Drosophila melanogaster: one gene and its partners. Changing the gene in region 1 together with any one later gene gives a genetic interaction. Each region holds a gene or a part of one and is shown on either strand. Other genes may lie near its edges.

Region 1 (8,397 bases):
TGTCAACAGTCACTCGGCATCCGTCGGCTGATTCGGCGGCGACTGGTGTCCATCTGTCGGGTGCGTCACCTTGGTGGCCACCTCCCTTGTGATGATGTCCACAATGGTCGCGAAACTGGGTCGCGAACGGGGCGTGGCATGCCAGCACAGCTGCATCAGGTCGTAAATGAAATCGGGACAACTGGCCGGACGATTTAAGCTGTAAGCAAACGAATTACTCGAATTACTCAACAAGTTGATGGACCCAAATCTCACGATAACTCACCGTTCGCCGCTCTGAAGGCGATTGAGGAAATCCTCCTGCGATGTCTGGATCGGCACCAAATTGGGCTCCTCGCCGCGCGAAAACATTTCGAAGAGCGTCACGCCATAGCTCCAAACATCCGAATACGATGAGAATCTGCAGGTGGAGATGGCCTCCGGAGAGTACCTGACCAATGGAAAGCAAAGATATTCAGTTGCGATAGTGGCCTACCGTCAATCCATCTTCTTTTTTTCTTACCATCTAATGGGAATATCACGCTTGCTTTTCGCATAGTAATATCCATCGGAATTGGCGAATTGCGCCAGGCCGAAGTCTGAGATTTTGACGCAGTCACCATCGCCGTTGTGGTCCACCAAAATGTTGCGGGCGGCCAGGTCGCGGTGGATGAGTCCCATGTCGGACAAGTATTTCATGCCCTGCGACGAGAAGCATTTGGATTAAGTACTGGATCAAAAGGAAATATCTCTTCTAAAGTCGTAAACATGAGTTTTCTATACCAAAGTTCTTTTTTGTGGTTTTTTGTCCAAAATGGGCAGTTTTTTGGCCACATCTTGGGTAGTAGTAGCCCAAATATGGATTGTTATACCTCGTTTGGCTCGTAATTTAATTCCCAATCGATTGGGGTTCAAAATGGGAACTTTTAATTTTTTGCCATTTTTTGCAAATTTTGATGATGTTACCCCTTGTAAAAAATTCAAAAAAATGGAAAAATTTTGAATCCACCAAATTCAAAAAAAAAGAAATAGGATTTGTTAATTGGGATCATAAGCTTTTAAAAACAGTCATTCCCTTCGAAATTTGACCACTTTTGGCCAAGTTATGATGCAAAAACCCTTAAAATATTTGTAGATTTTTCTTTGAGTTTTCCCTCTTTTTTCCGGAAAACTTGTTCCGTTCTAAAGCCATATTCGAACCACTCACATTTGCAATATCTAAAGCGAAGCTGACGAGCCGTGGATTATTGAGATTGGGTGCCGTGAAACGCAGGTAAATGTCGAAGGAACCAGATTGCAGATATTCCATAATGATGCAGTGCGACTTCTCAGCCCAATACTTGAACTTGACTATGTTCGGATGACTGAGGGTGCGCATGATGCCGATCTCGCGATGAAAATCGGTCGACACCTGCATGGTGTTCAGCATCTTGATGGCAACCTGCTCGCGCGGCTGATCCTTGTCGTTGAACTCCAGATGACCCTTGTAGACAGTGCCATAATGACCGCGCCCGATCATGTTCTCCATGTTGTAGATCACTCGACATTCGCTGGTCAGCGGTATGACCATCAACATATTCGAACGCGGAAAGGGTAGAAAGGGTATGTCGCTTCTATCGATCACGGTCTCGTCTCCAGTTCCATCTGGAAAAAAAAATAGAAGATGAAATGTATGCCAATCTCGTAACGCTGCTTTCGTCTGCTCAACTTACTCGTTGCGATCTCGGGTGGCGGCATATAATTGGGCAGAATTTCCGCCTTGATCGTGTTGAGACGCGAGAAAATGTCGTGGTGACTGAAGCGCTTGGTCTCATCATCGGACCATCCATCCATGATTGTCTCGAATATCGGCGCCGGACAGATGTCCTGATCGAGCATCTTGAGTATGTTGCCATCGAGATTTTTCTGCCTGAGTAGCTGCTCCTGGCGCAGTGTGCTCAGATCTTCCTTGCAGCGCGAGAAGATCTCGTATATGGTGGTAGCGAAGGCCCACAGCTGGGCAAACTGATCCGTTTTGGCTGCTTGCAAATTGCGATAATACTTAACAGGTATCCATGGCGAGCTGAAAGTGGAGAATGAATGATGTTATTTAAAATGCTGTTTGCTTTTTTTTTGTTTTATCAAAGAGTATGACCCAACCGAGAAGATGATTAAGTTGTATTTGTCGGCTACTCACTCGGATTCTCGGTAGGGACGCGGATAGCCGGGATCGCTAATTTTCGCGTCTAGCACGTACGAATTCGGATCGTACTTGGTCACGTACAGATTACTGCATCGTATGTAATTGTGGATAATCTTGTTGTCCTCCAAATAGTGCATGCCGCGCACCAATCCATGCATCAGATCCAGTAGACAATGCAGTGTTACATTGGGCATCGAGTGCAGGAACTTATTGAGCGGACCATACCGCGAATACTCCATGACCATTGTGTACGGATCGGCGAGCGTTAGGCCGTACAGCTTGAGGAACTGCGGCGACTGGATGAGGCTCCAGGTCTGTGCCAAGCGAAAGAACTCCATGAAATTGCCATCGCTCTTTAGCATTTTCATCGTCACGGACACATCCTTGACGGGACTCTGTTGGATCCAATCGCCGCGCATCGTAAACATCATGCCATCGTCGCTAAGCGATATCGAATCTGCGCAAAAGACGAGCGATTAGAACGAAGCAAGGCATTAGAATATATAGTATGACCCACCTGGATACCACTGCAGATCCGTTCGGGGATTGAAGATCTGCGGATTGCGGCGCTGCAGCTCCGCCTCGCTCAGCTGGAGGTCAGTCTTTTTGGCCTTGAGGTTCTTTGGCAGCAGCAGTAGCAGCAGCGGCGGCTTGTCATATTTGGAGGCGGGTATGCGATAGCGATCGGGACTATCCGCTTGAATGATGTGCGCCACTTCGTGCAGTGAGTTTAGTACATGCTCGCCGTTGTTGTAGCTTAGCTTCCATTGCGAGTCCTTGCGCACGATCCTAAATGTCTCCGTCTTGCAGCGTTCCTGATCGGTTTTCTTGGCCATGCTGCAAAGGTGAGCGGGATTTTCGCATGAGATAAAACCGATCACATCTAATTTGGGCATCATCAATCACACACACACACAGGCAATCATCAGTAAGCGAAACAATTGGCCACATAGCGCACACAGCATTTTTGTGTATCATGTGGCATTGCATACAGAAATGTTTGTAAGCCTGATAACCAGCGAGGAGGAAGTAACTGATAACTGTGTGAAGGCGCGCATGTACTCACATTTTGGTGTTGATATCGATGTAGTATATGTTGTATTCTCGATCGCATTCACGCACAATATAGCTGCCGCACTTGTCACCGTTCTCGTGCAGCTTCATCAGCGAGTAGGCACCGCCGATTGGACCATGGCAGTGGAGGGAGCTCAGCTCCTCCAGGGAGGGCGTGCGGTACGAATGGCACAGATCCTGCATCCATTTGCTCGACAATCTGCAAGGAATAAACGGATGGCAAATACGAGTTATAAGTTGCGCACATTTGTTGCTGTCCATTGGCATTGTTATTATTATTATTATTATTATTATTATTGCATTTGAAAAGTGATTCTATAGCTGGGAATCAATTGTTTCAATTACGTACATATAACTTTATTGAGTTATTGAGAAGTACTGCACATTGACGCAGGCGATATAAATAGCAATGTAACATTTAAAACCGATTAGTGCGTAATTATTTAATCAATTTAACTGAAGAAATCTTCTGAAAGCATTTAGTTTTAAATTTCTTGCTTGTTTTAATTTTAGCCTGATAACGAAAACCGACTTTGTGTGTTGGATTACAAAACAAACAGGGACTTGGTTTTAACAAACTCTTTAAACAAAAAAGCAAGCATTTCAAGCACTGTATTTAATCGTGTTATCAAATGTCATATTTATGTGGGAATCATTAACTTTTAAGTGGAATTATTATGTTATTAAATGAGTTCGTGGAATTGATGACTTGATGTTTTTTTTTTTAAATCAATGGATGTTAAAAAAAACAATTGAGTAGTTTGATTAAGAACATTGGGCACTGATTATTGTTACACGAACACTACAATGAGATGCCTATAAATTCTGGTGAAAAAAAGACCAAGCAAGTTCGGCTTAAAAGATTAAAATTTAGTTGGAAGCGAACTCTTTGGGATCTAAAGCTCACCGATTACAAGTGAACCACTCACCTGATGTAGATACCCAGGTAGGAGATGAAGGACTTCATCTCCTTCTCCGTCTGAAACTGCATCTCGTAGCCCTTGGGCAGACCAACGATTTCCAGCCGCACAGAGGTGTCGTTGATTTTGGAGATCATAAAAATTCCTTCCACGGCGCCAACAAGGATCCACTGCAGAGGAAATGAGGATTATCAATGGGATGCTAGTGCAATTACATATGGTATGTATGTATGAATATTTCAAGAATCTTTGCCAGCGATAAGCAACTTGATTACCAAGACAATCGCGTTAATTAAATTGAGAAATCTATCAAAATGTTTTTTAAATATTATAATATTAATGGTATTTCCATATTTAAAATGGCCAGCATTAAAATGCGCATTTCGATGGGAAAACCACAAGAAACCATATAAGATTTCAGAAGGAAACATAGTGTGTACCTTGAGTGTGGCCTCGGAGGTGACCCTGGCCACCTTGAGTCCAGGCTCCAGGGAATCGTGTGGAAAGACTCGCACATAGACATCGATTCCACCGCTGGTGGAACGTCGTTTGGCCTTCTTGCCACTGCCGCCGAGTGCAACGGAATTGGTGTTGGTGGTGAGCGTGGACAGAGTGTTGGTCGATCCAGAACTGGCCAGCGTCGACGTCGAGTGGGCCAGACTGGTGCCGATGGGTCCGCTACCGCGGGCCACCTCCTCGTTGGGCAGATACTGAACGGTGCAGGTGAACTGTTCGGTCATATAGGTGGGCGCCAAATGGGATACCTGATGCACATAGTGCCACTTCAAACGCTCCACACTCAGCGAATTCGCTTTTAGACTGCGGAAAACCTCACGTATCTTGGAGCCCACAAAGAAGCTGTGGGCGCGCCACAAGCTCGGTGGCAAATACAGTTTGTAAAGCTTCTCGATGGAGCGCATCGCCTGCTGATCCTCCGACTGTTCCTGATCGTCGATTAGCATATCCATCACGGCCAGTCCCGTTGATTTGTCCTTGTGCTCCGGATAGCGAATCTCCGGGATTTGCTCGGTCCGCATATCGTAGCGCATTTGGCGGTAGAGGAACTTGTGGCTCCGTCCATCGATCAACTCCAGCTGGCTATCCAATTCGGGCACACGGAAACGCATCCGAAAGCAATAGACCAGCTGGCAGTTGAGTCGCTCGCCGGGCAGGCACCACGTCAGATCCAAACGCACCAGCGGCGAGGGACGTCGCGATGTCGAGTGCTCCCGTATTCCGTAGAGCAGCTGGGCAATTGGTGCAATGCCCAGCTGGCGGCACATCGTATTGCAGATCTCCTCGCACAGCATGTTGGGATGGAAACGCTCAAATTCGCCGGTGGTGAAGTTGAACACACGGATTGTGCCATCGTTGGTGTGGATGCTCTGCGAGGAGGTGCCGCTGCGCAGCGAGGAGTTCGTCAGGCTGGCGCTGTCCGCCAGCGAAGTGCGTCCGCTGCTGCTGTCGTCCATTCTATCCTCTCCCCCGTTGGCCAGGGCCATGAGAGGATTGTCGGTGAGTGGTCCCTTGTGGGCTGGGTGCTATCTGCTGCTCCTGCAAGCCCAGTTCCTTGGCTGGAGCAGTTTCCTTACGCGGCCGCACTGAAGCTAGATCATGGGAGCTTTCCTAGGAATTTGCCGCGTTCTATCCGTTTCCTCTTCTTCTTGCCAATAACAATGACCACCGCGACTGACTTGAGTTGCTATTTTTGGGCTTACTGCGAATGCTCCTGGAATCGGCGATGCTCTTACCCTTGCAGTTGCAAGGTTGCCCCAAACTCCAGCGCGAGTTCCATTGATGCCACTGGCGGGGAACCACCTGGACTGCTCCTTCTTTTAGCAAGCGCCAACTTTCCGAGCAAGAACCACTTCGCCACTTGGGCGATCCGTCAGCAAAGTAAACTGGAAATCGGAAATCACAGTGCACTGGTCCGAAATTAGACACCCGAAACGCCAGCTAGATCCCGAAATTTGTGGGGCGTTGTGGGAACAGGGCGACGGGACTGGATGGCGATTATAGACGCCTTCGATCTGAAAGTGGGCCTGCTGTCGAAACGAAGCTGCAATTGCGAAGCTACAATACAAGCCACGAATTTCAGTGAAATTCATCGGACAATTTGCACCTCACGATATCGATTGGCCGACGGCCGAGCCACTTTGTCATCGATTGTCCAATAACCTGTACTATCGCACCTTGCGAACCAGTGGTTGGCAACGCGAGGTTCTAGTTCTTTTTCGATAGTTCTCAGTAAATATAAATAACAACTTACTTTAGAAATGTATTCTTGAAAATTGTATACCCTCGTTGGCAGGAGGAGGATGCTTAAGAAAAAAAAATATACTGTTATTTGCTCTATGGCGTCTATATTCTTGCCATTTAAATATGACAACAGTGCAAACAGTGCAATATGCACGGCATTTCCAGTATCGAATAGCTTTGCTATCGAATACACATCGATTTTTGTAATTCCACAGTTCACAGCTGTCAGTGTCGTTTATATAACCTCAAACCTTAGAATATATGAAATTCCGGACGAGCCCGGTCAATTTGTAGATTGCTCACTGAAAATCACACGATGTCCGATTTTGAGAACCTTTCCGGCAATGACAAGGAGCTGCAGGAGTTCCTCTTGATTGAGAAACAGAAGGCACAGGTCAACGCGCAGGTGAGCCGGGTTCCCCCATACACATAATAACCATTCGTAATCATAACAATATGCCCTCGCACATTATATCGTCGCCAGATACACGAGTTCAACGAGATCTGCTGGGAGAAGTGCATCGGCAAGCCGAGTACCAAGCTGGACCACGCCACCGAGACGTGCCTGAGCAACTGCGTCGACCGATTCATCGACACGTCGCTGCTTATCACCCAGCGGTTCGCTCAGATGCTCCAAAAGCGAGGTGGCGGCGACCTGTAGATTTGTTCGCTTAATCGACACCGACACCGGGATCTGGGTATCCGAGTCCGTGGACGCTTCCGTCACTGTCCTACTGTTAAATCTATTTTTAAACAAAAAATTATCATGTAAGCACATTTTTTTCCGCGCTGCGTTTCGCCGCCGACATCCAAAGTATGTGGCCCGTAGTCTGCACCCAGCCCGAAATTGAAATCCGTGATTCGAGTTCCGGAATTAATATTTAATTCGGTAGCGCAACTCAATTGTTTGGTCGGCCCTACGTTAGCGTACCGAAAATAAATACATCTTTCGTTTCGTACGTTTAAAATGCATTGTGTTGTAATCCTTTGCTTGGATAGTTTTAATCTCTTCTTTTATAATGATGAAATATTGTTGATAGATGGCTTAATATTATGCAGAAAGGAAAATAGAATTGAAATTGGATCATTTCAACATACATTTAAATTTAATTAGGCTGGAAAGGGGCTTAGAATGAAATAGTAGGTGTTCCTTAAATGTTTATTAGAATAAATAAAGTTATTCCATATCGATAGTATAGTGCTTCCACTCGATAAGTACCTATCGGCAACTTTCCAATTGGAATTCATATTTACGCAACTTTGAACACACAAATGTAGCTGCCATTTCCTGTATAAAATGTAATACTAAATGTAATATTAATGCATTTCTGCTAAATCCAAAGGTAATACTTGCAATGCTTGCGGACCTATTTCCCGCGCTCGCTTTGAACGTTTGCCCAGGACTTCTGATTGGGCTGCACACGCAGCGCGCCTCTGGTCACACTGATCCCAACTAGAACTAGTGTTCCCGTGAGCAGAGCAGAAAACCGTAATATATATTCTCCAACGTGCTGCCGCTACTTATTTATATTAAACATAAAATGCCCGAAGGCTGTGCCAAACGCATGTCCTTTTTGCCAGTGAGTGTGTGTCCGTGTATAATATACATAGCAAAATATACAGTCGGTGTCGGTTTCTGTGAAGTGTAGAAGTTCAGAAGGAGAAGCGAAAAGCGTGAAAAAGGATCAAGTGAAGAGAAGCATGAAAAGTTACCTTGATTTGCCTGCAGGACTAAAAAAGGGACATTAAACTTTTTTAACGGTGCACCTTTTAGTTTTTTTTTGTGTCTCTGTGTGGTGGTTGTCCTCCTGCTTGCACTTGCATGTGTGAAAGGGATGTTGTTGTAAATACAGATGATGATATAAAGCAAGTACAGGAAAAGTCAAATAATTGCCGAAAGGGCACGTGTGTGTATGTGTGTGCGTAACGGTACAGCAGCCAGCTGATTTTTTTTCCGTGCGAAAACACTGCAGTTGCAATAAG
Region 2 (5,403 bases), on another chromosome or scaffold:
CAGACCATTTCAATGAACTGCTGTTTTCGAGTGATTTACAATGTTTGATCAAAAAATCGAATCAAATTAATCTTGCTCTTTTCGTTAAGTAATTGGATCAATTTTTAACGAAAGTTTGGATCCAGAGACCACCGAAGAATCTAATGATTTGTTAGGAATAATAATAAAATAAATAGGTGTACAGACTTAGCATTTTTACCTTAAGATTTTTACAGAATAGAATGGAAGTACAAATTGGAAAATCAGGCCAGCTATTTAAAATTGTAAAGCCAAAATGAAATCGTAGTAGGCGAACACATCATATTCAATCTATTTTCATAAAAATATTTAGTTTAGCTCGATTCGGCATCGTCGGCAGTCCTATATCAACTAGAAAATATTTGGATTCAAAAAAAAAATTTTATTTTTATTTTTTTTAATATTCGTTGAAAATAAATGCAAGTATTAAAAATTATTACTATTACACAAAATGCTTAGAACAAAATTTATTGATTTTGAAATATTGTTTGGTTATATAGTTATTTATCGTTTATTTCAATAGAGATTCTAGTTCATTTGGTTATTGTGGAGCAAACATATGCAACGCAGTGAAGATGTTATCACAAGATGGTATTTCCGAGCCAATGGATCTTTGAGGCAGAGGCTTGTAAATATTTGTACATTCTGATCATATTTAATGAGATTCCAAACCTTTAGCTAGATGGTATCTTCAGCAATTTCCACCGAGCAGCTTGGACAATTAATATGTAGTTTATGGATCCTCTTTCAATGAATTTAGTATGCCCAAACTCGAAGGAGTTTCACCTCCATAAGAGCGACAGTCCTGGAGAAGTTATCAGAGCCAAAAAAATTCATATGATGATGCATTTTCCGTCTCTGAAAACGTCTTCAGCAGAAGTTGTTTTTAGCGAAGTGAAACTCATTCGATTTTGATCATACTAACGACATTGGATGCTTGGATCGGCAGTTTGGTGGAATATAAATACCAAGACCCTAAGACTGATGACGTACCTGCTAATGAAGATGATGGAGATATACTTGCATGCCAATTCAATAAGTTATAAGCACCCAATATAATAAAATTCAAATATTTATATTAAATACAAATATCCATCTTTAATTTTATTTTTGGTTCTCATCTTGGCAACAATAAATGTTGCTAAGCATTTTGCTTTCAACTTTCGCGTGAGCTGAATCGGTAAATTGAGCGAACCGGGAATCAAATGTTGCTAACGAAATGCTTACAAGCCGGTATCCAACTGGTATCTGAAACTGCTAGCAAAACGGGGAATCAAATGTTGCTAACGTAAACGAATTGAATTGATTTGTTTTATTTTAGATATAAAAATAAAAGTAGAATATCTAGAAATAAAAAATCCGAATTTTGAAGATTATTTAGAGACAATCTTGGAAATTTGTACAAATAAACACCCGTCCGGTTGAAGTTAAACAATATAATAAATTCTTATATCAAAATAAACTTGGTAATGTATATTGAAATTTTAAATAGTTTTTAAAATGTGTAAGTTGACTATTTATTCAAAACGGTTTGTTGCATTGCATCTGCTGAAATGCACTAATTTTGCCACGGAACTCGTTTTGAGAGCGAAAGAGAGAAATGAGAGAGCGAGTACGTTTCGTGGTATTTTTTAGTACGATTCGCGGCGGTGAAGGTGAATAGTGTTTTGGTCGTGGACATGAACGGCATTACGTTTTTCAACTCGGCCGCGCGAATAACTCGAAAAAGGCAGCTCCGCAGCCAAGGCATTTTGAAAAACACAAGTCCCCGACTCGAAACGCGACCAAATATTCGGTGTGTGACGCGAACTGCCAATGCAATAGTTCACTTAAGAATTGCAGATTACCGCGACTCTGGGCAGTTCTCATTCGATATTTGAATGTACCAAAAGAAAAGTGCCAGAACCAGAAATCAAAATAAAAGATCTTCTAACAGAATAACAAGAAGTGTTTCCTCCGAAAGATTAAAAAATCGCGAATGATTAAGAATCGCGGCACCGTTAGTTCCCTCTCTCGCTTTTCCCTTTTGCGCTTTTCTGCGTGAAAAGGAGAAGACTCCGCAGTTCGCGAAAAGAGCTTTTATTTCGCGACACTTAAAAATAAACACAGTCGAGGAAATTGCAACAAAAAATGTGGCGCGTGCACGTGTAGCTTGCAACAACGACAACAAGAAAACAACGAAAATGCTAAAAGCGAATTGCAAAACCATGTGCGACAAGTAACCAAAAAAAAAATTCAAAACATAAACACAATAAACAATTTGAGTAGTTGCCGCACACACACACACACACACACAGCCCGTGGATTATTACACTAAAAGCGACACTCAATCCAAAAAATCAGCAACAAAAACATCAATAAACATGCATTGGATTAAATGTTTATTAACAGCATTCATTTGCTTCACAGTCATCGTGCAGGTGAGTTTCAGTCCCAGGAAAAGCGCTCATTTTCCATCCAACAAGTTGTATTTTTTGGCAATTTATTTTCTTTATTTCTACGCGCACGCGTGCACTCACCGCTGAATTTTGCAGCTGGTGTGTTGTGCGCGCATGTGTGTGTGTGGGGCCAAAAGGGAAGAAACGATTGAAGGGTTGCCAGGTTACTAAATATTTTAAAACTTTTGGGGTTCCGTATGATCATCTCAAAATATCTATTTTGAAACCACTCCAACATCGCGTTTGCTTCCAAACTTATTTTTCAAGCTGGTAACCCGAGAACTTTTGGGTAGAAACAGCTGAGTTGATATTTTAAGCGGGTTGGCTTTTAGGGGTGGAAATTGTGGATCGGATCGTATCACCCTTTTCGGAACATGCATACATATTTCATAGAGCAAAACTAGTTTGGAAACATGCGAGGCCAATGCCCAAACAGGTCCATCCCCAAAAAATGGTTTAATTCTAGTACACAGCGGAAAAATATGAGGCATACGTTAGAAGAAATACCTTCAAGATAATTTTTGACATGCAGATCAGTTCAACTTCTTAGAAATCCTACTATGTGTACTAATTGTTCTCCGTGTAAAAACAGAGATGATCCAAGTCTGCCTCAACGTCAAAATTTACCACCAACGGCGTATGCATCCAGAGCAGCAGCAAAAAATGATAAAACTGCTCGATTTCAATATGAGGCTATATAGTAATGCTGTGCTACAAGCCCATGCTAAAAAGTTGATGATGCTGGGCAACATCTGCCGTTTTCGCCGTCATCTCCTCCTCTGTCCCTCCGCTTTGCATGCGCTTTTTACATGCGATTTTTTTCGGTTTACTTTTCGCTCTGCGTAGGTCAACGCGACACATGCTCAGCCTCACTTGCTCTCCCCTCCTTGCGTTGTTTCTCTTCTGTCATGCTTTCATTGATCTTTAACGCCAGCATCCCCTGGTTACACGGATAAAAAAAAGAGTTGTGCAGGGTTTCCAAACAGTGCGATCTCTAGAAAATAACACTAAATATTTTGTTGTTAATGTGTGGGTTAGTTTCAAAGATAAGAAAATATTAAATTATAATAAATCTTGACCATACATAGTATGTGTACATAGTATACATTTCATAGTTCAGAACTATTTAGCTACGAAGAAATTACAACTTAGATCCACAATATTAAGCTGATAGGGAGCTCTTTATTGATAATAGTACCCATTTACTCACCGTGCACCCTGCATGTGCTCCAATCCTCTACCGCTCTCCGCACTTCTTGATTTTCTCCCAACTTTGGCACGTTGCGTGCTTAAACTTCACTCTTCGACCAGCTTCTTTTTGCAGTCTGCTATTTAGTCGCTAATTTTAACAACGTCCCAAAAAAGTGTCTCGACGCCAACCTCCTGGGGTCTTGGGACTGCTGAAAATGCTCCCCGTATGTAGGCAGAAACATCTGCCCAATAATTCTGACTCATTTCCTTACTTACTTACAGGGAAAGGTGGAATAGTTTAATTTGTCATTTAAAATAATATCTCGGGCAATTAGCTTGCCATTAGCAATGCAATTTAATTCAATTTTCTGCCCATTCTATAAGGTATTATTCTCACAATTTCTTGGCCCTTTCTTGTCCCATGCTGCGTTTAAATTTCAATTTAACTATCAAATAACCGTAGTCGCCTTGTTTTCGCATTTATGCAATTTTCATATTAACATTGAGCGTCGAAGAAGTGAGTGAGTGAGCGAGTGAGTGAATGAATGAATGAATGAATGAAGACTGGGACTCGTGGGGGAGCACTCGTAGTCTTCTCGGCTCTGCTCTTTCTTCGCATAACATAATTAATTGCAATTTAGAAGCCAAAGAGGAAGACGACGACTACTCCCACACAATGCGATGGATGATTCACTTGCGCTTGTAACTGTTTCCCAAGCCCGTTGTTAACGGTTGATTATGATGATGAATTTAAATGATTAATAAACAACATGCAGGGTAGGGGCACCAAAGCAAACACCTGTAGGAAAGTCGAGGAAAAGTCGGGGAAAATTATAATAAAAATGCGTGCTTTCATACATTTTTATGTCCCCTTGTGTTGTTTTAACTTCTTCCCTGCTTTTTTTTCTACAACAACTGTCTGTCAGTCAAGGCAAGTTGACGTGGAAATGGCAAAAAATGAAAAGAAACGAAGAACTAACTAACTAGTCGCTTCAAGCCTCAGTGATCGCAGTAAAAATAGGAGTAGTGGCCAGTAAAGAGAAAGAAAACGAGAAACGGAGACAAAGAATGGCTCAAGCAAAAGGTAAACAATGCAACGCACTATTTTCTAACACTTTAACAAGTGTCTGTCTTCCATTTGAGAGGTTGGCAGCTCCAGCTTTCAAGTTCCACCTGGCGAAACCCCCTCGTAGATCCCCCCCACAAGTTTTACCTTTCGGTTATTCAGCCGCTGTGGAGTTCATAGTTGAAGGCAAAGGCAAACAAAAAGCGGAAGGAGAACCATTACCAGTGTACATATGCCAAAGTTATGAGGCGGATTGTGCAAGGTGTAACTGAGCATTCAACATTTTGGAATTACGATAAAAACAGTCGGAAAAGTTAGATCAAAGAGAAATATATTATATATTTTACGTTATTAGAACGAAAGTTATGTTTTTTAAATGCTAATTCATCATATTATCTACTACTTGTCCCTTTAAGAGCTTGCTAATACTAACCGCATACTTGGAGGGACTTTAAAACAGTGTGAGAAACTATAACCAAAATTGGTGTCAAATGGTGGACAAAACTATTGTGGTTTTAACGATTGCACTTTTTGTTTTGTTTTGCTTGTGCTTCCCACCATCTTTAGAGTGTGTGTGAATGTTTGTTTGGTGTTATGCAAATTGATTTGCTTGTTGTTTTGTCTTGCTTTTTTTGTGTTGTATATGTTGTGTCAACTTCTGCGCCTTTGTTTGTGTGTGCGCTTTTCGTT
Region 3 (5,401 bases), on another chromosome or scaffold:
AGAATTCTTAGTCAGAGGCTTTTTCTAAAAATCGAGAATGACTTTATTTAAATGCCAGTTTAATGGTTAAAACTTGGGGAATATTTTGACTAAGTGCAGTTATCAAAATGCTGGTAGATTTGTTGATATTTTAAAACGTAATGGATACATTAATTGAACAGGGAAAATATATCCTCTATTTTAATCTCAGCATTTTCAATCTTATTAAATAACTTAAGACTGTAAATGATTTCTGTTTTTTTAACGCGTTCTACGAATCTTGTTTATTGACATATGCTTGATTTACTGCTTTGAGAAAATTCCAGCGTAAGAGCTCTCATTAAAGACAGCTCTTCGGGATGCGGAGTTGATAAATCACTCAAAAAAATAAACCCAAAAATCATCATTATTTACGTCCCCCATCAAAACTTTGCCCTCAGCCATTGCCAATTCGCATGGGTTGAATCAACTTTGTCTGTTTTCTTTTGGCCTTTTTGACGAGACACTACACCCGCATGTATTTGGATCTGGGGCTTTTTGCGATTATTGCTTTGGGGATTCGATCGTTTTTTGCATGTTGGTTGGTTTGCTTACCTTATGGACTAACAGTATTAAAATTAAAGCAATTAAGTTGCAGGCAGACTTTAATGATCGACAATCGCGGATCGTCGATGGCAGGGTCGCGATTTTGGGTACCCGATGCCTCGGACGCTGCCTTTTTGTCGCCGTCTTCTTGGACATTCCCAGGCTGTCTGCTGATTCTATTGTTGACTCCAACGACGACGACGTAGCTGGTTTTCGCCGAAAATGTTTCCTAAACATTTTGTACATTCTGGGGGCGTTTGCGAGCGTGATGCTGGTTGGCGATCTAGATGGAGTTTGTTTCGGATTCACTCTGGATTGGCACCACACAAATGTAAATTCGCTGGGCAGCCTTAATTAGCCCATGTATGCAGATTTTGGTGCCTTTGTTTGTTTCTATTTTGCCACACTACACTTGCTCTGGATAGCTGAATAACTGGCCGTACTCTGGATGCTGTATCATTTTCTCCACTTTGCCTTCGTTTTGTTTGGTTTTGTTTGGATAATGTTGTTATCACACACAATTATTATTTATTATTTATATGGACCTTAGTATGTGCTTCTCTCGTTTTTGTTTTGTTCACACTTGACACTTCCACTTGATAGGCGCTGATGTTTTGTAGATCTTTAGCTGTAACAATTGTCGAACGAATTGGAATTGAAACGGGCTGCGCAAAATCTATTTCACTGTGCATCATCAACGCTAATTGACACGCAGATGATGCTGCTGCTGCTGCAGTTGCAGTTGCAGTAGCGGCAACCGCAGCAAGCCGCAACAAGTGCCACCAGCCACCGCAGCAACATTTACTTTTGCCAGACCGCAAAAAGCGGCAACGTGCAGCAAATGCAAATGCAATTCAATTTATGTTAATTTAACGCTGTTACTGCCGCTGCTGATGTGGCTGCTTCTGCAGTTGCTGCTGCTGCGACTATGGAGCCGTGTCTTTGGCCACAAACAATTTGCATCTTGTGCGCATATTAATTTACAGATATTTTCACTCTTGCTCACATTACTCATTCTTCCCACCCTGCCGCTGCTTTTGCCATTCCGGCCATCCTATCCTCCCATGGCCTTTAGCCCCCCAGCCCGCCCCGGTTCCTCCTGCTCGGGTGTTAATTGTCCATTTAATTAAGTAATTTGCTTGGGGCCTCCTCCCGGCTTTGGCACGGAACGGAAGTCGTTGACTTTGAATCGAAACCCAGATGCTGCCGCTCTTGCTCATGCTGCTGCTGCTGCTGCCGCTGATGTGGATGTTGCTGCTGCTGCAGGGCATGACCGGAAGTGGCTTTTGCAAGTGGATGATGCAGCTACCTCCCCCTTAATACCCCCTAATACCGCTACTTTCACTCTTCTCTCTTGGCAATTTGCAAAACGATGAATGAACTTCTAGCGGCCTCAAAACTTTAGTATACCGTGTATCCATTTCTATTTCTAGTAACTTCTGGATATACTCTGATTTATCAAATAATTGTGCAACCAGATCACCGTCTTGAACTTAACGATCTGAATAAGCTTTGGACCGTGCTAGATCCGTTATTCGTTGCATATGGTAAATCATTGAGCAGTGCATCGAGCATTTTCCGCGCTCTCTTGATCAGGGGCTTTCCCATGCTCGTACCACCCATTCAGAACCAAACTGATTTCACAATCTCTCTTTTCTCCCGGTGCACAGAAGAAAACTACACTACTTCATCTATACGGAAAGTTCTTTAACTTTCTAATAAAACATTTGTTATTCAATTCAAAATTCTTTAAATTTAGAAAAAAAAATCCGTGTTAAGCATCGCTTTTAGAAAGTCAAATACTTTCAATAGGTTGTTTGGGAATCCCACTTATTAAGTTCTAGTGGAAATTTCTCTATGTGCGCCCATTATTATTATTATTTGTATTATCTGCGTGCATTATGAACTAGTCGGATGTTTTCATTCTTTCTCCCTTTCACTTGGCATGTTTCAATTCCACTTCGTAGTTGTAGCTTCGTGTGTTTGTGTCCCTGTTTTGCGTCCCTGTGTGCGTTATCAATGGAGCACACTGTGGCCAGCGATTCCCCCGGAATGGGGCACTCGTTTTCGCATATTCACATTGTTTGCACTTTTACTTTTCGCCTTTGATTAAACACAATTTTGACGGCATTGTATTTTGATATATTAATGTATTGTATTTAATTGAAAGGTATTTCCGTTTTCCTTAGCTCACACGATCTGGGCTCAGAAATTAATCACACACTATGGAAACACACACATAGCAAAATGTCGGCTGATTGTCGATCTTTCGATTTGCTTTTCTTCCACCGAGCATTTGTAGTTGATTGCTCTTCATCATTTGTTGTAATCAGCAAGCAATTTAATTCGATTGCGGCACATTAAACACTTTCACAATTGTTATATGGATGATGGTCGGTGGCGTTCAGTTTGGGTGCACAATAATCCAATTCGAGGAGGGGTTTTACCGTTGACAGAAAAGGGGCTCATCACCGCTCGAAGCACGGCGCTCGACTAAACGCGTTAACCGAATCCTGCGGCATTTCCAGCCCTCGAGCAGCATCCATTCACGGGGCGGAGCAAGTCACGCGAGAGAGCTGCGGTTTTGGTGGTGGTAAAGGTGGTGAGGTGAGCTGTCGCTGCTGCTGCTGGTGGTGGTGGTGGTGGTGGTGATCTGCAGTCTTAAGAGAACTGTGGCTCGGTCTGAACCACCGAAACCGCTTTCAAAATAAACTGGCGACGACTTCCGCTGAGTGCTGCGTGCGCTTCAGGCTTCGACTAACGACTGATTGCCTCTGGGCACAAGTTGCCGTCGATCCCGAGAGCTTAACTCGCAGCGATTCTCTCTGTGCTTCTCTTTGAAGAAAACCAGTTTGCTCTTCGTGCAGTGCTCTTTAGCCAGCCGCTGATTGGTCGTACGACTGTATATAGCCCCGGGGCCCGGAATCTGAATCAGAATCGGCAGTTAATGGAGTTGCTGCCGCTTCGGCTGCTGCACGCATGCGCGCCCGAGGCTCTCGGCTGCCGTTTTTTACGATTCCAACTTAATTATGCCAATAAGTGCATTCTGGGGCTGTGTGTGTATGTGTGTGTGTGCTCCAGATCTAGTAGCTCCAAGGGACTGGCAATTAACACCTAATATGAAGGAACGCTCCCACAATCTTTAACGGCTGGGAACCAAATCGAAAGATACTAGCATCGGCCAATTATTAACCACACAGACAGAGCGGCGACTTCCATCCAATTATCTGCTGGCCAAAAGTGTATAAATCAAATTTAAATGCAACTGGCCTATCAGTGCAGCCAAAACAAAAGACTTAAGCAACAAACTTGGCAATTACATGCGGCCAACAAGACAGGCGGCAGCATCTTTGTTGTTGCTGCTGCCTACCTTACTGTTGTTGTTAGCGGCTCATATTTCTTGAGGCGCATATCTAAATATCGAATCATGTTGCTGATTTTCCATTGTCTGCCCACCACAGCAACAACAGCAGCAGCAACAACTGCTGCTGCCTCAACAACTGCAACAACACATAGTAAATCTCATTGTGCCGTTGTGACATGACTCTTGTTCGACAATAGATAAAACAAATTGACTTGGTGTGTGCCCAAAATGTCTTCTCTAGCCGTCTCCCTGGCCATTTGGGTCTCCATCCTCCTCTATTTGGTGGGCGTACTGGGCAGCGGTCTCCCAGCTCCTTTGTCATCTTTTCTCGCTTAAAAAAAAAGAAGAAAAAAAAAACAGAAGAAATGGAAGAAAAACTGCACTACAATGCCCATTATCAGCTTACATATCTGCGACAAGAGACCCCAGAGCGGCAATTGTACGGGCCACCGAGACGGCAACGGCAAAGGCAACTGCCAGCGGCAATGGCAACGGCTTCGTTGTCCAAATATGTTGCAAGTTGGTGTTATTCTTCACACGGCATCATAAATTTCACGTATAATTGACGCTTTCAGTTATATCAAAATTGGCTAAAAGGCGACGACCAGCTTTGCGTTGGTGGCCAGCAGACTACAGCCTTCAGCCATCAGCCTCCAGAGACTTCGAGCTGGTGCTCCCCAGAGATATTATTTTTGCTCACTGTGGCTTACATTGTTTTCGTTTTGATTTCAACTAATAGCAGACAACGACTTACAGGTGTCTTTGTGCGCGTCTCTCATAATTTGGGGGCACTCTGTGTTGGCGGCTTGTTGGACACTTGTTCGGGTTTGATGGCATTTCTTTTTTGGGATTAGCTTTCGTTTTCCGGCCAAGTGTTTTTGTGTTTTTTGGTTTTACTGTCACATGTAACAGCTGCAAAAGTGGACCAGAGCGGTGGCATAAATCCATAAAATCAAACATATTGAGTAATCAAAATGTTAAACCCACCCTCTTGACAAAGGTTCACCCCCTCAAACCAAAAAAACCCTCGTTGGGCGAGTTCATTAAACAAACAGGCAAATATGTTGGCAATTTCAACCAGTTGGTTTTACACCACTCAACATTTTATGACAGATTTTTCAAGTGTTTTTTCCGCCTCCTCGTTTTTCTTTTTTAATTTTTCACTCCTCCTGCTGCCGTTGTGGTGGCTGTTTGCGGTTAGTGGTTTCTGGTGGTTTAGTGGTTGCCACATAGTGGCCGCCCTTCGTCCGGAGAATCATTGCCTTAGGTTAGTTGTTTACGAAGGCTTTTATTGGCACACAGCCGGGTCAGGAGATTTATGGGCAATATTTTTAGCGTAAAGTTACGGACACTTCAGAGAATACTCGAGCCAAAGAAATTGGAAAAAGAATGGGAATTGGAACTGAGCTCAAAGGGGGCAGCACTTTTCCCGAAAACCATTGCGGTATTTACTTTAAAGATCTGTGAGTGTTA
Region 4 (5,412 bases), on another chromosome or scaffold:
AGAAGGCTGCGAGTTCGGGCGAAATCCGCGGCGACAGGTATACAAATATGAATAATGCCGCGGATCGAGCGGATAAACTCGGGGGTTTCCTTTGCGCACAGCGCCTAATTAAAGGTGTACGATGCATGAGTGAATCTGTTTACCTGGACGGGGTCCTTCAAGGTCATTTAACTGGAAAACCGAGTGTCGAAAATAAAGTCGACCGTATTTTTTTCCCTCATCTTCGGAATATTTGCTTTGTGCGGAAGATTTCCCACAAGGAAATGGGACCAAGTCTCGAGATACAATATGAAATGCAACTTGAGGCAATGCAAAGAAGAATGCGCAAAATGCGCAAAGAAGAGCGCAAAAAAAATTATATACAAATATGTATGTATCTCGAGTATATGCCAGACTATATACATATGTACATATGTAGAGGGAAAACAGGTCTCGAGTTATCCGGCGTCTTCAACTGTCTGGGCCTGCAATTTTTGTGCGTCCTTTTTGGGCTGCATTTTGGGCTCCTCTGCACATGCGGCGAGATACATTCCTGAGATACTCGAGATAAAAATGCACATGCATCTGGGCATTTGTGGCGTTGTCCATGCCAATGCCGCCTCCTCTCCATTGTTGTGGTTTGGCCACCACTCTTGCAATTAGTTGGAACTCGGTGGACCGAAAGTCTGCAGGAGTTGTGTAACAACATAGCTACATAATGCTGATAGGGTAAGAGGGTGAAGTTCATTAGGAAGATATTTTCTCAAATCGAAAGCCTAATCATATTTGCATAATATGAAACTATAAATAATACTACTAAAAGTTTAAACCAATACACGAAGATTGCTTTATAAGCATCATTGAATTGAACCCGATCTTTGATGCTTCCTTTTCATACTCATGAATGCGTTTAAATTCTAATGGTCAATTGGCCCAAGTTTGCTGTGTTGCTTCAGTCGCATATGCCCACCCTACCCAGAACTACAGGGTACTGCAAACGAGAACAGGAAAGTCGATCCTCGCCTGCGCGCATCAGTGTATCTGTGAGTCCGAGTATCTGAGTATCTGTGTGCCGGGTATCTAAAGAGCGCCGCCTGGGCAAAACGGCGTGTGAAAGTAAAGTCGGCCCAGCCGATGGAGGAGAACAAATCAAAGTTCTTGAATGGAGCGGCAGCGGCGGCGATGGCGACGGCGGCGTTCCAGTTCCAAGAATCGATGGCCTTGAAGTAGCCGTTAGGACATCGGGACGCGCTCAATTGACTATTTAGTTTATATTTAGCAGCGTCTAAAAGGATGCCCACAGCGAGTCAGCTAGCTCAAGTGGCCTGCGTCCTGTCTCTTCCCCGCTCCACAAATCGCCAGTCGGACGGACTATCCTTTGTTTGTCTGGGAATAACTGGAAACTGTTTATCATTGTTGTTTCTGCTCCTCATACATACGGCTTCACCTCATTCCGATTCCGAATCGGATTCTTCTGCCGCAGCGACAAAAATGTGTATGGACTATAAAAAAAAAATGCCCACATATACATACATATGTACATATGAACCATTTATTTAAGGAGTTACTATTCACAACTCATCCTTTTGGAGAACATGTAATATTTGTAAAACATTCCGCACTTGTAATTGAGAAATATTGTTGGTATTTTACTAGGAATTCGGGTTAATATGGCCAGTTGATATGTGTGGATTCCTATAACCATTTACGTATGTATGTACATATGATGAGAAAATATTCGAGATCAGTTTGGGTTCCCATCTCGTCTAGAAAATCCTTTGATGACATACCGCTTTCGAAGGTGGCAAGCACTTGGAGGATCATGAGCAGAATTGAAAGGTGTTGACTAGGATTTGAATAGATCATATAAGGAGTGTTTAGGTGGGTCAAACAAAAGAAAATGTTGGGAAAATATACAAAATTCACGACACTGAATCATCAAAAACTTGATGCTCTTACTTTTTTCAAAATCACTTCTAAGAAAAACAATTTATTTCCCCATGGTTTAAACTGGCCAAATCTAAACATAAGCGGCTGATTTTCGGCACGATCATGACATAATCGAAAAATTAAGTATACAAAAATCCACCCCATCAACAATACACCACCCACCCCCCACGCACACCCCCGCCGCGATCGCTCCAAAAGTTTAACGGCGCAAAAAGCGAACACGCAAACTAAAAAACGTCAAAAGAATGCAAAAAATAAAGAAGAAAGCAAAAATTGCGAAGAAAACAACAACAAAATGAATGTGGCAGGTAAATGGAAGCAGAGGAGAAGAGGAAAGAACGAAGATGGCGCGAAGCAAGGTGGAGACGAAGGGGAAGCGAAAGCAAAACGCCGAGAAATATCAATGAACTCCATTCTCCACTTGGCAGTCTATCTCGCTCACTCATTGGTTGGGAGCACGTACATAGAGTAACTACTCACAAAAATAAATATAACCACGATTTTACAATAATTAAAATACTATTATTAATTCTACATATGTAAACATACATACATATGTATGTACGTAGATTGTGGGTAAGGGCTAAATGCCACTACCAATCTTTTTCTTCGTGTACCAAAGATATTTGCGCCACTTTTGACATAATTCATTATTTTGTTCTTCACTCGTTTACTCCATTTTGCTTTGAACCTCTGCTTCGTGTTCGTCAAGTTTTCGAAAGGTCCGTCGACTGATCGGCGATTTTCCGAATTTTTTCGACGTCGCAGTCAAATGCTCTCTTTTTTTCCGTTTTAGAGCGCAGTACTAAAACGTTTTTGTTTGTTGTTGGTGTTGGGAAGGGGAAAATAACTTGACTCGCTGTTCTGATTGGAATAAAACGGAAGAGAGCGAGAGAAAGAGAGCTTACTCTCTCTCTTAGCGAGCGCATTTCTTCCAAGTTTGTGCTTGTGTGTGTGTCATTGGAGGAAGCGTATAAAAATGAAATGAGCATGGGAAAAGAATGGAGAAACGCAAAGTGGCGCGAATTAGGCGTTTGGGCTGGGGCAGTTTTGTTTTACCGCCCAAAATCTATGCGAATGGCGGGAAAAAGTGCAATTCGGGCGGGAGAAAGATTAGAAAGTTGGCCCAAACAGCAGGGTAAACCATAAGCTGCATCTCAAGCCTTCTATAGTAAGAAAAGCTGTAATAGTTCACTGAACTCCCGTTACGCATTAGAAACTCAGTGCACTTTTAGACGTGATTAGAAGCTTTCATTTATTTCATAGGATTTTCCAATTTGTTCCCATTGGATAACGGTTTAATTCTAATAGGACACTTTTCCTTATAGGGGGAACACTAAAACACTGTGTGGGGGAGACAATTTGTAGTTGGACACCCCGTCTCTTGCCAATCAGAAAGCAACGGTTAAATCCTACAGCGTGTCAATTTTCTTATAAGAGGATGTTGTATTTGTAGCAAAAAATGCAAAGACACGACGGCAAACGCAGCATTCTCTCCCGCTCTTTCCTTCACTGTTCCACACACACTTGTCACCGCACACGCGTCATAAATTTTATTCCACTCTGAATAACGTATTGCCTTTTATCCACTAAAACCATTGTGCAATTGGTTTTACCTTCTAGTAAGCGGAAAAATGCTTAACATAATATCCCCGGTGTTTTCACTTGTTTTTCTTAAAGGGAATTGAACAACGTTTTTCGAGAGTTTTTCGTCGTCGTCGTCGCCGGCCACGAAAAAACTTCACGAGCAGCGGAGCGGCGGCAGCAAAGTGATCGCTTTGGAACCGAAAAAAAAATTGGTGGAACTGGGTATCAAAAGCAGCGACGTCGACTGCGGCGAGTGTGCATGAGGAACGCGCCAAAACAGGCGGATCCGAAGCGCCAAAAAATGCAACAAACACAGGGGGCAACTTTGTTGTACTCTAGGGGAGGGACGGAGATGGGGCGAGCATCTCCAGCGCAAAGAACAGAGCGTGAGAAAGCGAGACGGGGCGATGAAGCCGCTGGTGGCAAGCTTGGCATTTTATTGAATGGAGTCTGCAATTGGAGTCCCCAGTCCCCAACAGGCTAGTCAGACTACAATTGGAGGTTCGACGTCCAGTCAGCTGGGTGGTCGAAAAACAGCTGACGAGGATGCCAGAAGGGCGGATTTAGTCGGATATATCGTGGTTATATATAAATACCTAAGATTTATTTCTATGTCATATGCCAATTTTAATTCAAATATGACCTTCAGAAAATAAATATTTAAATTTTAATATGAAACTATTTTTTTTAATATATTTTTAAAGCGCTCCAAAATCAATTCAAGGTTAAAATAAATTTATCTTGAAGGGTATTCATAAATCTTTAAAATTTTAATTATTTATTTATTCTTCAGAAGCCTGAAATTACATGGTTTAATATGCTTTTCTAGTAGTTTTTATGAACTGCAGCCAAATAACATATGACAAGATGACTGAGGTCGAACTAGGTGGTAACGCTGCTTTGAAACCAAACAAACCACTGCCACTTTGTTGTTTTCATCGATTAACATTCGAGCATTTTTGGCACCAACTTCGAGCGCTTATAAATCAGGTAAGCTAAATGAAAAACCATGCGTGCCTATAACCAATTGAAAGATCAAAACTCGCAGAATCTGATTTTTCACTAAAATCGAAAATCCCGTTCAATTCGGCCAAATTAGAATCGATTGAACTTGATGATTTCCCGCGCGCGGGAACCCGACGTCGGCGCGCGCTGCTGACAGCGATGACAGCTGCGCGCGCAAAGAGAAGGCGCGGAAGAGAGCGCGAGAGGGGCAGGGGAACAGAGAGAGAAAGAGGCAAAAACGTCGACGTCGCTGCTCACGTTTTTTTTCCATTACTTTTCGACTGCTACAATATCGATGGAGAAAACGGGGTCTAAAGGAAATGGCTTAAAAAGCAAGTTCACGAACTTTTGAACCCTGCACCTGCTGCAAATCGAATGGGCCAATTGGCCGGCATCACTCACCTGCTGTTGGGCAGGATTCGGGCAAATTCTCAGCGGGATTGCACACTGAAAAACACACGCGGACTGGAATGGTGATGAAAAAAATTGCACACACCGCCGCACACATACACACGCACGCCAGCCAGCAAGACAGTATAGCCTCCTTTTTGTCACCTTTTTCGACAGATTTATCGTGGTTCTGCGGTCTTTTTCACGGCTAGCTCAACCCCACGGCAGTCAAGGCCAATTCGATGCGATCCCCGCGATTTTTCAGCGACTCCAAAGTAACACAATGATCGCAAGTGGCACTGTGACGAGATCGAAATCGAGAGAGCGATGAAAGAGCAAAAAAAAAGGCCATAATCATCTGGCCACACGGCGCAAAGAGAGAGTCGGAGTTTAGTGGCAGCGGCGTTGCCACTACGGCCGATCGCGTTGCGGGATTTTTATTGGCGCGTTATTCAAATTTTGAAAAATAACTTCTATGTTAGCCTGACTTTTACTGCTCTG

The links.
Region 2: of hop (region 1) and Delta, changing one suppresses a phenotype caused by changing the other (phenotypic suppression), as found in Drosophila melanogaster (one study listed by BioGRID).
Region 3: of hop (region 1) and Ser, changing one suppresses a phenotype caused by changing the other (phenotypic suppression), as found in Drosophila melanogaster (one study listed by BioGRID).
Region 4: of hop (region 1) and CycE, changing one suppresses a phenotype caused by changing the other (phenotypic suppression), as found in Drosophila melanogaster (2 studies listed by BioGRID).

Annotation. Positions count from the first base shown.
Region 1 is NC_004354.4:11,361,806-11,370,202, forward strand, and holds the start of hop (hopscotch), read right to left. Parts: upstream 6,294-8,397; 5' UTR 5,658-6,293; coding exon 4,596-5,657; intron 4,326-4,595; coding exon 4,165-4,325; intron 3,435-4,164; coding exon 3,228-3,434; intron 2,999-3,227; coding exon 2,679-2,998; intron 2,619-2,678; coding exon 2,156-2,618; intron 2,042-2,155; coding exon 1,692-2,041; intron 1,624-1,691; coding exon 1,187-1,623; intron 682-1,186; coding exon 503-681; intron 431-502; coding exon 266-430; intron 200-265; coding exon 10-199; 3' UTR 1-9. Other genes in the region: Tim8, read left to right, coding at 6,731-6,820, 6,899-7,075. UniProt on the Drosophila melanogaster protein: Tyrosine kinase of the non-receptor type, phosphorylates the marelle protein. Required maternally for the establishment of the normal array of embryonic segments: involved in the control of pair-rule gene transcription in a stripe-specific manner.
Region 2 is NT_033777.3:19,322,517-19,327,919, reverse strand, and holds the start of Delta (delta), read left to right. Parts: upstream 1-1,702; 5' UTR 1,703-2,381; coding exon 2,382-2,438; intron 2,439-5,403. UniProt on the Drosophila melanogaster protein: Acts as a ligand for Notch (N) receptor. Essential for proper differentiation of ectoderm. Delta is required for the correct separation of neural and epidermal cell lineages.
Region 3 is NT_033777.3:27,190,933-27,196,333, forward strand, and holds the start of Ser (serrate), read right to left. Parts: upstream 3,336-5,401; 5' UTR 3,012-3,335; intron 1,193-3,011; 5' UTR 811-1,192; coding exon 574-810; intron 1-573.
Region 4 is NT_033779.5:15,742,910-15,748,321, forward strand, and holds the start of CycE (cyclin E), read right to left. Parts: upstream 3,702-5,412; 5' UTR 3,575-3,701; coding exon 3,546-3,574; exon of another isoform or gene 3,348-3,545; intron 2,735-3,347; exon of another isoform or gene 2,483-2,734; intron 1-2,482. UniProt on the Drosophila melanogaster protein: Essential for the control of the cell cycle at the G1/S (start) transition. Targeted by archipelago for degradation by the SFC ubiquitin ligase complex.